2 linked regions of the Cricetulus griseus genome follow. The protein of the gene in region 2 binds, or shares a complex with, the protein of the main gene of each other region. Links are inferred from orthologs where the notes say so. Each region holds a gene or a part of one and is shown on either strand. Other genes may lie near its edges.

The links. The genes of interacting proteins can lie anywhere in the genome.
Region 1: Rbl2 (region 2) and Lin52 share a complex: the UniProt entries of both Homo sapiens proteins name them as parts of the DREAM complex. The link is inferred for Cricetulus griseus from reciprocal best matches to the Homo sapiens genes RBL2 and LIN52.

Annotation. Positions count from the first base shown.
Region 1 is NC_048598.1:119,314,135-119,319,788, forward strand, and holds the start of Lin52 (protein lin-52 homolog), read right to left. Parts: upstream 3,385-5,654; 5' UTR 3,179-3,384; coding exon 3,148-3,178; intron 1-3,147. Other genes in the region: Aldh6a1 (methylmalonate-semialdehyde dehydrogenase [acylating], mitochondrial), read left to right, coding at 3,766-3,822.
Region 2 is NC_048596.1:166,738,660-166,744,232, reverse strand, and holds the start of Rbl2 (retinoblastoma-like protein 2), read right to left. Parts: upstream 3,413-5,573; coding exon 3,179-3,412; intron 2,802-3,178; exon of another isoform or gene 2,721-2,801; intron 2,520-2,720; coding exon 2,389-2,519; intron 509-2,388; coding exon 308-508; intron 1-307. UniProt on the Homo sapiens protein: Key regulator of entry into cell division. Directly involved in heterochromatin formation by maintaining overall chromatin structure and, in particular, that of constitutive heterochromatin by stabilizing histone methylation.

The sequences.
Region 1 (5,654 bases), on a different chromosome or scaffold from region 2:
AGGCTGGCCTCGAACTCATAGAGATCCGCCTGCCTCTGCCTCCCAAGTGCTGGGATTAAAGACATGCACCACCAACGCCCGGCTGTAAAATAATATTTATTGGGTTCATATTTGTGCCCTAAAAATTGAAGTTGATTCTCTTCTTCAACATGTGGATTCTGGGCTCAAACCAAGGTTAGCAGTCTTGGTGACAAGTTCTTTTACCTGATAAGCCATCTCATTAGCTCAGAATTTCCCTCCTTTGAAAAAAAAAAAGACAAGGAGGGTGGGGGTGGGGGGCAGTTTGTGAAAGATCTGTCAGTAAACTGCTTATTGAGCAAACCTGAGGACCTGAGTTTGCTCTCCAGAACTTACATGAAAAAAATATGAGGTTGCCAGGCGTTGGTGGCGCACACAATTAATCCCAGCACTCCAGCAGGCAAAGGCAGGTAGATCTCTGTGAGTTTGAGGCCAGCATGATCTCCAGGGTGAGTGCCAGGATAGGCTCCAAAGCTACACAGAGAAACCCTGTCTCAAAAAACCAAAAAAAAAAAAAAAAAAAAAAAAAAAAATGAGGTAGCAGTGTTAGTGATCCCAGCACTGAGGGGTTCTTGGACCTTGCTGGCTAGCCATTAGCCTACTACTTTCAGGCCAATGAAAGGTCTTACTTCAACAAGGTGGGTGGCTTTTGAGGGACTACACCTAAGGTTAACTAGACTCCACATATACTGGTACCAACATGCATGTCTGAGTGCAGACACACACATAAACATTATAAACATGCAGTCTCTCCCCTTAAACTCACAACCTCCCTCCAGGGTATCCTGTTCTTATTTCCACACCTCACATTCCTCTGTGTGTGAGCATGCATGTGCTCGAGAGGGCACTCACTGTATGGGTGTAATGAGTGCAGATGTAGGTGTCTGTGACTGTGAAGATCAGGAAGGATGCTGAATGTATTCCTTTTGCTCTCAGATTTATTGTCTTGACACAATGTCTCCCACTAAACCAGAAGCTAGCTAGACTGGCTAGCCAGCAAGCTCTCAGGATCCACCTGTTTCTGTTGTCCAAGATGCTGGTATTATAGGCACATGCACCCATACCTAGCTTTTAAGTGAGTGCCTGAGATTTGAACTCAGGTCCTCATCTTTGAAGAGCAAGCATGCTTACATACTGTGCCACCTTCCCAGACCCTACTCTGCCTCCTTAACCTATAAAACAAAATCATGATCTGTCTGTGCATGCATTAGACTACAGTTATCAAAGTTCTCTATGTGAAATCATTTCTTCTGTGACCTCTCAATAGCATGTGATGCTTCTATGCTCCTATGAAACCACCATATTGGTTCTTCTCTTAGTTATTCCTTCTTCAGTCTCCACTCAAACCTCACCCTATGCTAGCTTTACTCGCTACAACTCTCACTATTACATAACAACAACTATTCATATTTCCAGTCCCAACCTTTCTCCTGAACTTCAGAATAACATGTCCAAGAAGCTACTTGATGTCTTTCTGTATTACATGTAGGGAAAACCCCTTAAACCCACTATGTTCTTTCCCAATCCTCTCCATGTTGAGACATTACAACACCATGAACCCCGATTCTTTAAAAGCAAAAACCCTTTGAATTATTTACTTTTCACTAGTTTATTTTGTTTTGTTTTTTGTTTTTCTGAGACAGGGTTTCTCTGTGTAGCTTTGGAGCCTATCCTGGCACTCCCTCTGAAGACAAGGCTGTCCTTGAACTCACAGAGATCCGCCTGCCTCTGCCTCCCGAGTGCTGGGATTAAAGGCGAGCGCCACCAACACCTACTTTTCACTAGTTTAGATGTGTGCTAGAGACTGAACGTAGGGCTTTGTTCATCAGAGGCAAAGCTCTCTCCCACTAACCTATATACTCACTTTTTATTTTCAGATTTATTTATCTGTATTGCTGTTGTCTGAATGTTATGGGCACAATATGCCTGCCTGATGCCCATGGAGGTCAGTCAGATCCACTGGATGGTCATGCATGCCTTTAATCACAGCACTCAAGAGGCAGAGGCAGGAGGGGCTGAGTTCTAGGCCAGCACGGTCTACAGAATGAGTTTCAGGGTAGCCAGGGTTACAGAGAGAAACCCTGTCTAGAAAAACAAGCAAACAAAAAACCCCACCTTTTTGAGACATACTTTGCCCACAATTCCTTCTGTAACCTAGGCAAGCCTGAAGCAACAATCTTCCTGCCTTGATCTCCCAAGTAGCTAGGATTAGAGGTCACACACCAAGGCCAGTTTCATTTTTTGAGAAACATTAACTTAAGGCCAAATGCTTTGCAGGCATTAGGATAAAACCTAGGATTAAACTCTGAAATAAGACAGACTTGAAACTTATAATTAGGTTGTGGCCAAAACAAAATAACTATGCTGAGAATGAATATACTGAGATACTGAATAATGACTGAAGGGCAATTCCAAATCCTGAAACAGAACCTCGAGCAAAAGCATACAGGTATAACGAAAATACTTAATTGCCACCTAAGATGAATTGCATCTTAGATGTCATGTAAGCAGAATTGCTCCTGCTCTCAGGCTACGGAAACAACACATAAAAAAAATAAGAGTGTGAGACGCTACAAACTATATTAACAAGACTACTTTTCATTTCCCTCGGGACTCAGAGCCAGGAAACCAGGTCCTTGATTCTCCTGCTGCCAGGGCAACGGACCTAAACTGAGAAGGAGACAGCGTGTTTCTCGACCTAGGGATGAACTCGAAACCTCACGTCAGTCACCAGCCACAGCTAGGACTTCAAAGACTCCTTCTAGCTCTACTGAGATGAGATCAGAACCGACACTCCAAGGAGCGGATCCGAAAAGAAAGCTGCCTTTCCCCTGAAGCCCCTTCTGAGCCCTCGGCATCACCGATGGGCCAGGCCGAACTCTGTCCTGTTTCCGGGAAAGGGTCTGTTTGGTGGCCTCCTTCACCCAGCAAGTGGGGAGACCTGGTACTTGGCACCTCCGGGGACGCTGTGAAAACCCTGCGGGCTGAAAACCCGACATACCCGGAAGGAAAGAAGTGGGAGAGCAAGGAGAGGAGCCCAAGAAAGAAGGGTAAGCGTGAAGGCATAGGAAGCTCCCAGAGAAGCAAATAAAGAGACTACAGGGCAACAATCTCCAAGCCGGCTCTTACCGTCCGTGGGAGACGCCATCTTCCAGCCCATGTCACGTGACGTGGCCAACCGTCGGCGGGAAAGCGAGGACCCACAAGCCACGCCCCTGGAGAAATAACCTATCCTCAACTCGCGACCCGGTCTTGCTGCCCTAGCCCATAGGGTAACATTTGCCTAGTCCCACCCCAGAAGGCAGCCCCGCCCGGGGCGCCGTAGTTAAGGTGGAACGCAGGCAAAATTCTCCACGGGCCTTATTTACTTTCCTTAGCGAGGGGGCGAGGCCTCGAGGCTGCCTACCTGTAGCCAATCGGAGCTCCCGGTTAGGGGGCGTCTTCCCCAGCTCCGCTTGGTGCTTAATATGCAGGACCGAGTCGGGGTGGGGGCGTCTCCCGCTCTCCGCCAACAAAAATCGGCTGGGGTGAGAGTGGGCGAGAACGCTTCCTCTTCTGACCAATCACATAGTCCCAAGACTGGGAGGGACGGGTGGGAGTCAAGAGTTCTGACAAGCGATTGGTTACGAGACGTGGCCCTCTCCTCCAATGGCAAGGCCCGGCCGTGTGGAAGGCGTGGCCTAGCGGTGTGACTTCTTGGGAGGCTCTGGCAGCCTTGGCTCGTGAACCAGGCAGAAGTGCTGCGCTATGGCGGCGGTGGCGGCGGCGGCGGCGGCGGCGGCAGTGCGGACCCGGATCCTGCAGGCGAGTGAGGGTGGCGACGAGGGACCATGATGTTAGGAATGGGTCCTTACCGCCCCGTCTCTAAACCATGCTCCTGCCGGACAGACTTACTGTCCCAGCCCCTCTGCCGACCCTCTTCCACCAGCCCCGAGTGTCCGGCTGTCACTCTGTACTGTCTCTGGCCCTGCATCCAGCCCCAGACTGTCACGCCTGGCTCTCCCTCCTTTTGCTCCTGAGCCTTTCCTTTTCTGGCTCTGACCCACCCACCTCCAGTTCGGCTCAGTGCCCACTGTCACTCTTTGGCTTGCTTTCTCTCTCTGGTTCCTCCCACGGTCTCTCACCTCTGCACCAGCCACCTCTGTTCCCCAGAAACTCCCCCCTTTTGGTCACCTTTCTCAGAGTAATTTATTTTAGGGGTGTCCCTTCCCCCACCCAACCTCTGTACATAATCTGAGGTAAGGGGAGGAGGGAGGGGAGCTCACTAGGGTCGTGCTACTAGGGTCGTGCAACTAGGGTCGTGCGAAGGAACTCTGAATCGCCTAGAAATGTACCCTAGGTTTCCACATCAAAGGCAGCCATTTGCTAGCTGTTTTCCCAAACTATGATGGCTCCTAGTGTTTTTCACAAGCTCTGGGCCAAGTTAAACTTTCTCAACAAAGTTAACGTTTGGAGGTAAATAAGGGCACGTTATGCTAATACTGATTCATTCAAAGGACTAAATATTTCCCAAACAGGTGGTAGAAAATGAGAGCCTAGGAAGACATGTTCCCAAAGTCAGCTCCTCAAATGCAAACACACTCCCACTCTGCCAGACTGGGACTGGAACCCCAAAGAAGACTGCCTAAGGGCAGTTGTAGAGCTATGGAAGCTTCAAGCCTATGATCCCCAGCTTTGTTGATACCCTTTTGTGAGCTTTCACCTTAGCAAGGATCTAGAGCATGAGGCAAGATACTGTTACTGTCAAGATTCATAATCCGCCGGGCAGTGGTGGCACACGCCTTTAATCCCAGCACTTGGGAGGCAGAGGCAGGTGGATCTCTGTGAGTTCGAGACCAGCCTGGTCTACAAGAGCTAGTTCCAGGACAGCCTCCAAAGCCACAGGGAAACCCTGTCTCGAAAAACCAAAAAAAAAAAAAAAAGATTCATAATCCTGCATTAAGCAACATTGTCTCCTTCTTACTCATCCAGCCTGGGGATGCCCTCTATACTGTTGCACATACATAAAATTTTATTTCTGTTCATCAGGTTTCTATGAGTTCTGCAGCAAAATGTGCATTTGTTAGATTATTGGTGGAGTCGACAAAGGTTCAGGTTTGGATATGCTGTTTAATGGGACAGTGTGAGGAATGAGTTGGCCTTAGAGGGTTGGCATGACTTTACTCCCCTAGTTCTATTCTGGTATCTTTTTCTAGTAACAGGGACAATGTTTCCAGTCTACATAGTTCCATTACCAACCCCTTAAAATCCTTTCTGGAAATTGCCCCCAACCCCCAATCATGTTACTCCTATCAGCATGAATCACTGAGAACCTTAAGATATTTTGTCCTTTGCACAAAGGAGCAAAAACTCTCTTCCCATGCCTGTTATTTTTGAAACAGATATATATACCAGTTTGAAGAAACCTCTGGACTGACTTGGAAAAAGACCAGAAATAGTTCTTAGACAATTAGGAATTACTGTAGCATGACACTTTGATAAAGGCTAGTCTAAGTGGGCATGGTGGCCCAGCAGAAACTGATGCAGGAAAATCTCCCACTTCAAAACCAGCCTGGGAAGGGAACCAGCCAGAGAGCAAGAGGGGAAGTGAGGAGGTCAATTGAAGAAGAAAATGAAAAGCAACACAGTACAATAGC
Region 2 (5,573 bases):
GCATTTTGCATTATGAAAGAAGCCAGACAACTTCTAACATACAGCAAACAACAACAACAACAAATTATCATTTAATAAAACAAAACAAACAAAAAACATTTTAAGCCAGGCGTGGTATCACAAGTCTTTAATCCCAGGACTGGGAGGCAAAGGCAGGCAGATCTCTATGAGCTAGAGGCCAGCCTGGTCTACATAGTGAGACCCTGTCTCAAAGCAAACAAAAACCCCAACTTCTTTGGGAAGAGTGATCTCTGAAAATGTGTGCCTTTTGAAGAGTGATGAACCATACACACACACAGAAGCCTACCTCTGCTTCCGTCCTCTTTGCTGGCGAGGTTGTTCTTCTTGGGGATATTTAAAAATGTCTTGAAAAATGGGTTCATATTTCTTAAAAATCACAGCAGAAACAGTGAAGTTTCTTTCTAATCTTTCAGTACGTTCTCTGAATTGTGGGGGTAGATTTGCCATGTCTTCCCACTTCTTCATCTTGTTAAAAAATTCAATTAAGCTGATATTAAAAATAAAAATGAGGTACTTTAATAACATAAAGGTGATTTTATGCCAATACAATTAACAGTAAATCAAAATCATTTCATCAAATTATATTCTGACAATGACATAAAATCAAAGCCATGCCTTTGATTAACTTTATCTCCTACCATTTGTCTTCTTACTCCAACCCTCCTAATCTACTTTGTTCAGATTATGATAGTTTTGATTTCTTAGTGTGTATACATGTTCATGTAGGTGGTGTGTGGAAATGCACAGGAAACCAGAAATTGATGGTAAGTGCCTTCCTCAATCATGGTCCACTTATCACTTACATTTTTCTGCTGGGTGTGGCAGGAACTCTAACCCTTGGCATCATCTCACCAGCCCCAGCTCAGATCCTTTAAATACTAAAACTATGGAGATGGAGAGACGGTTCAGCAGCTAAGCGTATTTGCTTTTCTTGTAGAGGGCCTCGGCTCAGTGCCCAGCACCTACAAGGTGGCTTATGACCATCTTTTATTACAGTGCCAGGAGATCTGATGTCCTCTTCTGACCTCCGTAGCCACTAAACATGCACACTTGTGCTTGTACATACATACAGGAAAAATACTCATACACATAAAATAAAATTCATCTTAAAACTTTTTAAAAAATAAGACACTAAAATGAATATAGAAACAGCCAAAATTTCAATTTATACATCTCCTAATATCATTTTCTACTTCCCACCAATATAACCCACATTCTGAAGTTAATTTTTTGTACATATATTCATAAAAATAACTATCTTGTTTTCTTTTACATTTTAAGTAAAATGCATCGTAAGTAGCATTCTGCAACTTAATTTTCATTTAATGTTTCTGAGATTCATTAATATTAATACATGGAAATATCTAACTCATGTATTTAATGATGGAAACCATTCCTTCCTATGAACACATATATCTCTGCATTCACTCAATCACAAGAAATTCAGGTTATTTCTAATTTTCTTTTTAAAAAAATGGTGGAGGAGCCGGGCAGTGGTGGCTCACACCTTTAATCCCAGCACTCGGGAGGCAGAGGCAGGTGGATCTCTGTGAGTTCGAGACCAGCCTGATCTACAAGAGGTAGTTCCAGGACAGCCTCCAAAGCCACAGACAACCCCTGTCTCGGAAAAAAAAAAATTGTGGAGGACTGCTGAGGTGTGAGTGGTTAATAGCACTTGTTGCTCTTGCAGAGAACCCAGGTGTGTTCCAGCACCCATATGGTGACTCACAAACACCTGTAACTCCAGTTCCAGGGGATCCTTGCTTTCTTCTGGCCTTCACAGACACCAGGAACACATGTGGTATACACAGATACATGCAGACACTCATATATGTATAAAAATCATGAATTATTAAATGGTGCAATAAACATATTAGTATGTGTGTAGGAGTTTCTTTTTTCTCTTCTTTTTCTTTGTTTCTTTCTGTGTGTGTGTGTGTGTGTGTGTGTGTGTGTGTGTGTGTGTGTGTATGGGTTTCTTTAGGGCCAGAGACTCTGCAGCTTCAAGTCTACACATTTCATGGACATTAAAACACAAGTGTCTAAACATAAAGCCACATAATTGACATTTTATTTACCTTTTTGATCCATAGTATCTTCAAAAGCTCCTCAATATCTTTATTTAAATTTATATTAATAATATACAATGAGGCATAACCTTTAATTCATTAAAATGCAAATATACTCAAGTTAGTAAAATATGATCCTGACTCTGAAATGGTAAAGGAAAACCCTCAGTTTCTAAATTCAGCAATCCACATGTTAGATGCTCAGAAAATAGTAAACGAAGAGAATTTTCATTACCTGTATGATTTGTAAGATTTTCATTTTAGCTACATTCTACTTTGCAAGCTCGAATATAGTTACCTCTGCTCCGAACATCGAAGGATTCTTGTTAAAGACACATAGTTTCCTTCAACAGTCCCTTTGCTTACAGTTGGGACCGATTTTCTGCAAGCCACATATAAGGCACATGCTAACCAATGAAGATCATTTCCCTGAAAAAAGAAAGCAGTGCTTAAAAACTTGTCCAGAGTCACTCAGATCCTTAAGGTCTGATGCCGCCGTATTTCTTTTCTGTGCTATAACAATGGAGAGGGGGGAATTCGATGTGTGAACAGATTAAAAGATATATATCAAAATACACCAACTCAGCAGAACGACACAGACATAACCACCATATTATAGTTAAATAACACCTTGCTTAGCCTTCAGATCGTGGACCTGTTCATAAAAGGGCCGTTCGCACAGGCAGCTGATAAACAATCCGTACTTCCGTGTCACTTCCTATTGGCCCATGCAGGGGAGGTGCCTGTAGAGTTGACAGGCACTGGCCCGAATGGCCATTTTTGTCAACCTCAAGCCCCGTCCCAAGAACGGAACATAACAAACCTATAGTTGGATGACAGCCAAAAAGAGTGTCAGAGCTCAACAACAAATGTTGTGTGTCTACACCGGTTTTCAACTGCCGGGGGTGGGAGGTGAGTAGGGAATAACAAATCTTAAACCGTTGTCACACGTAAGCAAGCCCAAAACTTAACTCCTCTCCGCTGACGGCTGCAAAGCCAGGGCGGAGGCAATGGTGCAATGCAACCAACCAAGCGACCCCAGAGCCACACCGAGTCCCCCGACCTCCCCGGATGGTCTGCGCGCGCACCTCCAGCGTGTAGCTCTCGCTCATGCTGCGGTAGCTGCCCCAGGCCTCGGCTCTCGCCGCCTCGTCCATGTTGAGGCGGCTACACAGCTCCTCGAACCGCTGCTCGATCTGAGGGCCCGGGGACTCCGCGGGCTGCGCGCCGTCCGTGGCGTCGCCATCCTCCTCCTCCTCCTCCTCCGAGCTGGCTGCTGCCGGAGGAGGAGGCGGTGGCGACTGGTTGCCTTCAGATGGCATGGCGCTCCCCGAGGCCGCGGCTCTTCAGATGAGCTGAGGGCCCGGGCCGGCAGCCATTCAAACCGCAAAGCGCCCGCCGGTCAGCAGCTTGTACCACGACTGTGCCGCCCCCAGAGGCCTTTGGCCCCATGCGGGCACCCGTCCTTCTGAGCACAGCCTGCTGGGAAATGTAGTCTCGGCTGGGAACTCAGGGGGACCAAAAGTCGAGGAACAAGAAAGAGCAAAGCTAGCTCTGAGTCATTTAGGGGCAAGCGAACGCGCCCTCCCGTTTTAAGTATCTCTCAACAATCAGACCATTCAGAAGGCTCCTTTGAAGAGAAAAGGACCACAAGAAATGCCGACAGGAGAAGCTCAAGTATCCAAACACTTCGCTCCTCACCTAGAGGTCCTCAGATGATAGTAAAGATGAAAGGTCCAAAGTAAAGATGATAGCTCCGCTGCTTTTTCTCGTTCTTTCTCTGTTACTGAGATAAACACTGACTGAAACCAACCCGAGGAGGAAAGGGCTTATTTCATTACTGAGGGAGGCAAAAGCAGGACTCTGTTTACTGGCTAGCTCAGACAGCCCCCACCTGCCAATGGATGGCGAACAGCCAGTTCAACAGAGAGGATGCTTCAAGTTAAACTCCTGTGTCAACACTAACTATGGCAAAGGTATTTGGCCTAAGAGTCGATCTCACTAATCAAAAGCCAAAACACTATCAACCAACAAGTAATCACGAGTGTGTTTTCAAAAATAATTTAAAAATTGTATTAGACATCACACTTACTGAATTGATATCTTGATGATACCCCTAATTTCCAGGCCTTTCACTGGTAATGTGTGAGTCAGGTCTGGCAACAAGAAATGCAACTAAATATGGCGGCAGTGCAGACTGAGCATTCTCAGAACCTGGGTTTGGGGAAGCTGATCCTTTGACATCTACAACGGAAAGGCATTTTGGGACCGGTCACAATGAAACACAGTTATCCAGGCCACTGACTAACGTCAAGACTGGAGACTCCATTGTGCCTTTTAGGAGAGGAATACACTCAAGGGGCTCAGCAGCTATACGTGTGTGATGAGGGGTGTTAAAGCAGCTTAATCTCCGAGCTTAAACATGAGAGAAAGGATGTGCTGATTTTTCTTATCCAGAGAATTTGCTCTTGGAAAAGAAATTGTTAAGGCACACTGCATGGGCTTGAAGGTGGAGAAGAGAATCTAGTAGAAATAAGCACATTGGCTGGGAAGATCCTCAGTGGGCTGAAACACTCACCTGAATTCAATGCTTACAACTCATGTTTAAAGGAGGCAGGGAACTAAAAAGCCAGGAGTGGTGGGTTGGCTTCTAGTCTCAGCAGTGGGGAGACATAAGCAGGTAGAGTCCTGGGGCTTGCTGGCCAGTGAGAGACACACACAATCTGAAAAAGAGAGAGGGACCAGAAGAACAACACTTGTGGTTGTTCTCTAGCCTCCAGACCTATGTGCATCCACAAGCACATGTACCTCTACACACGTGTGCACGAACTTGAACATGCACACAAATGCACTCAAACATGTGCACACTTGGGGCTGGAGAGATGGCTCAGAGGTTAAGAGCACTGACTGTTCTTCCAGAAGTCCTGAGTTCAATTCCCAGCAACCACATAGTGGCTTACAACCATCCCTTATAAGATCTGGTGCCCTCTTCTGGTGTGCAAATATACATGGAAGCAGAATGTTGTATACATAATTAATAAATAAAAGAAAAAAGAAACATGTGCACACTTGCACACACAATACTTACCAAAAGGATACTTACTTCTACATAAGTACAAGGACATTGGATTTAAGACATCATCCATTAGGCATTTCAACAAACTTGTGGACTGGAGCACTAGCTGCTCTTCCCCCTGAGTTCAAATCAAGTAACCACATCAGGCTCACAAACAGGAGCCTCTTCTGGCATCTATGGCACCTGCACTTATGTACACATACCCCCCCACACACAAAATACATATACATAATTTAAAAATAAGTGAATAAATTAAAACCAATTCTTATTTGTGATGTTTCTCTGTAAGGGGAGCTTGGTTCATTCTAAGGTGGCCTGATTTGTTATGTCTATATATCTGAGTGTCAGCCTGAAGTAAACTAAAGTCAGATCAGGAGAGTAATGGGGCTCTTCCCCTTTCCATGCCC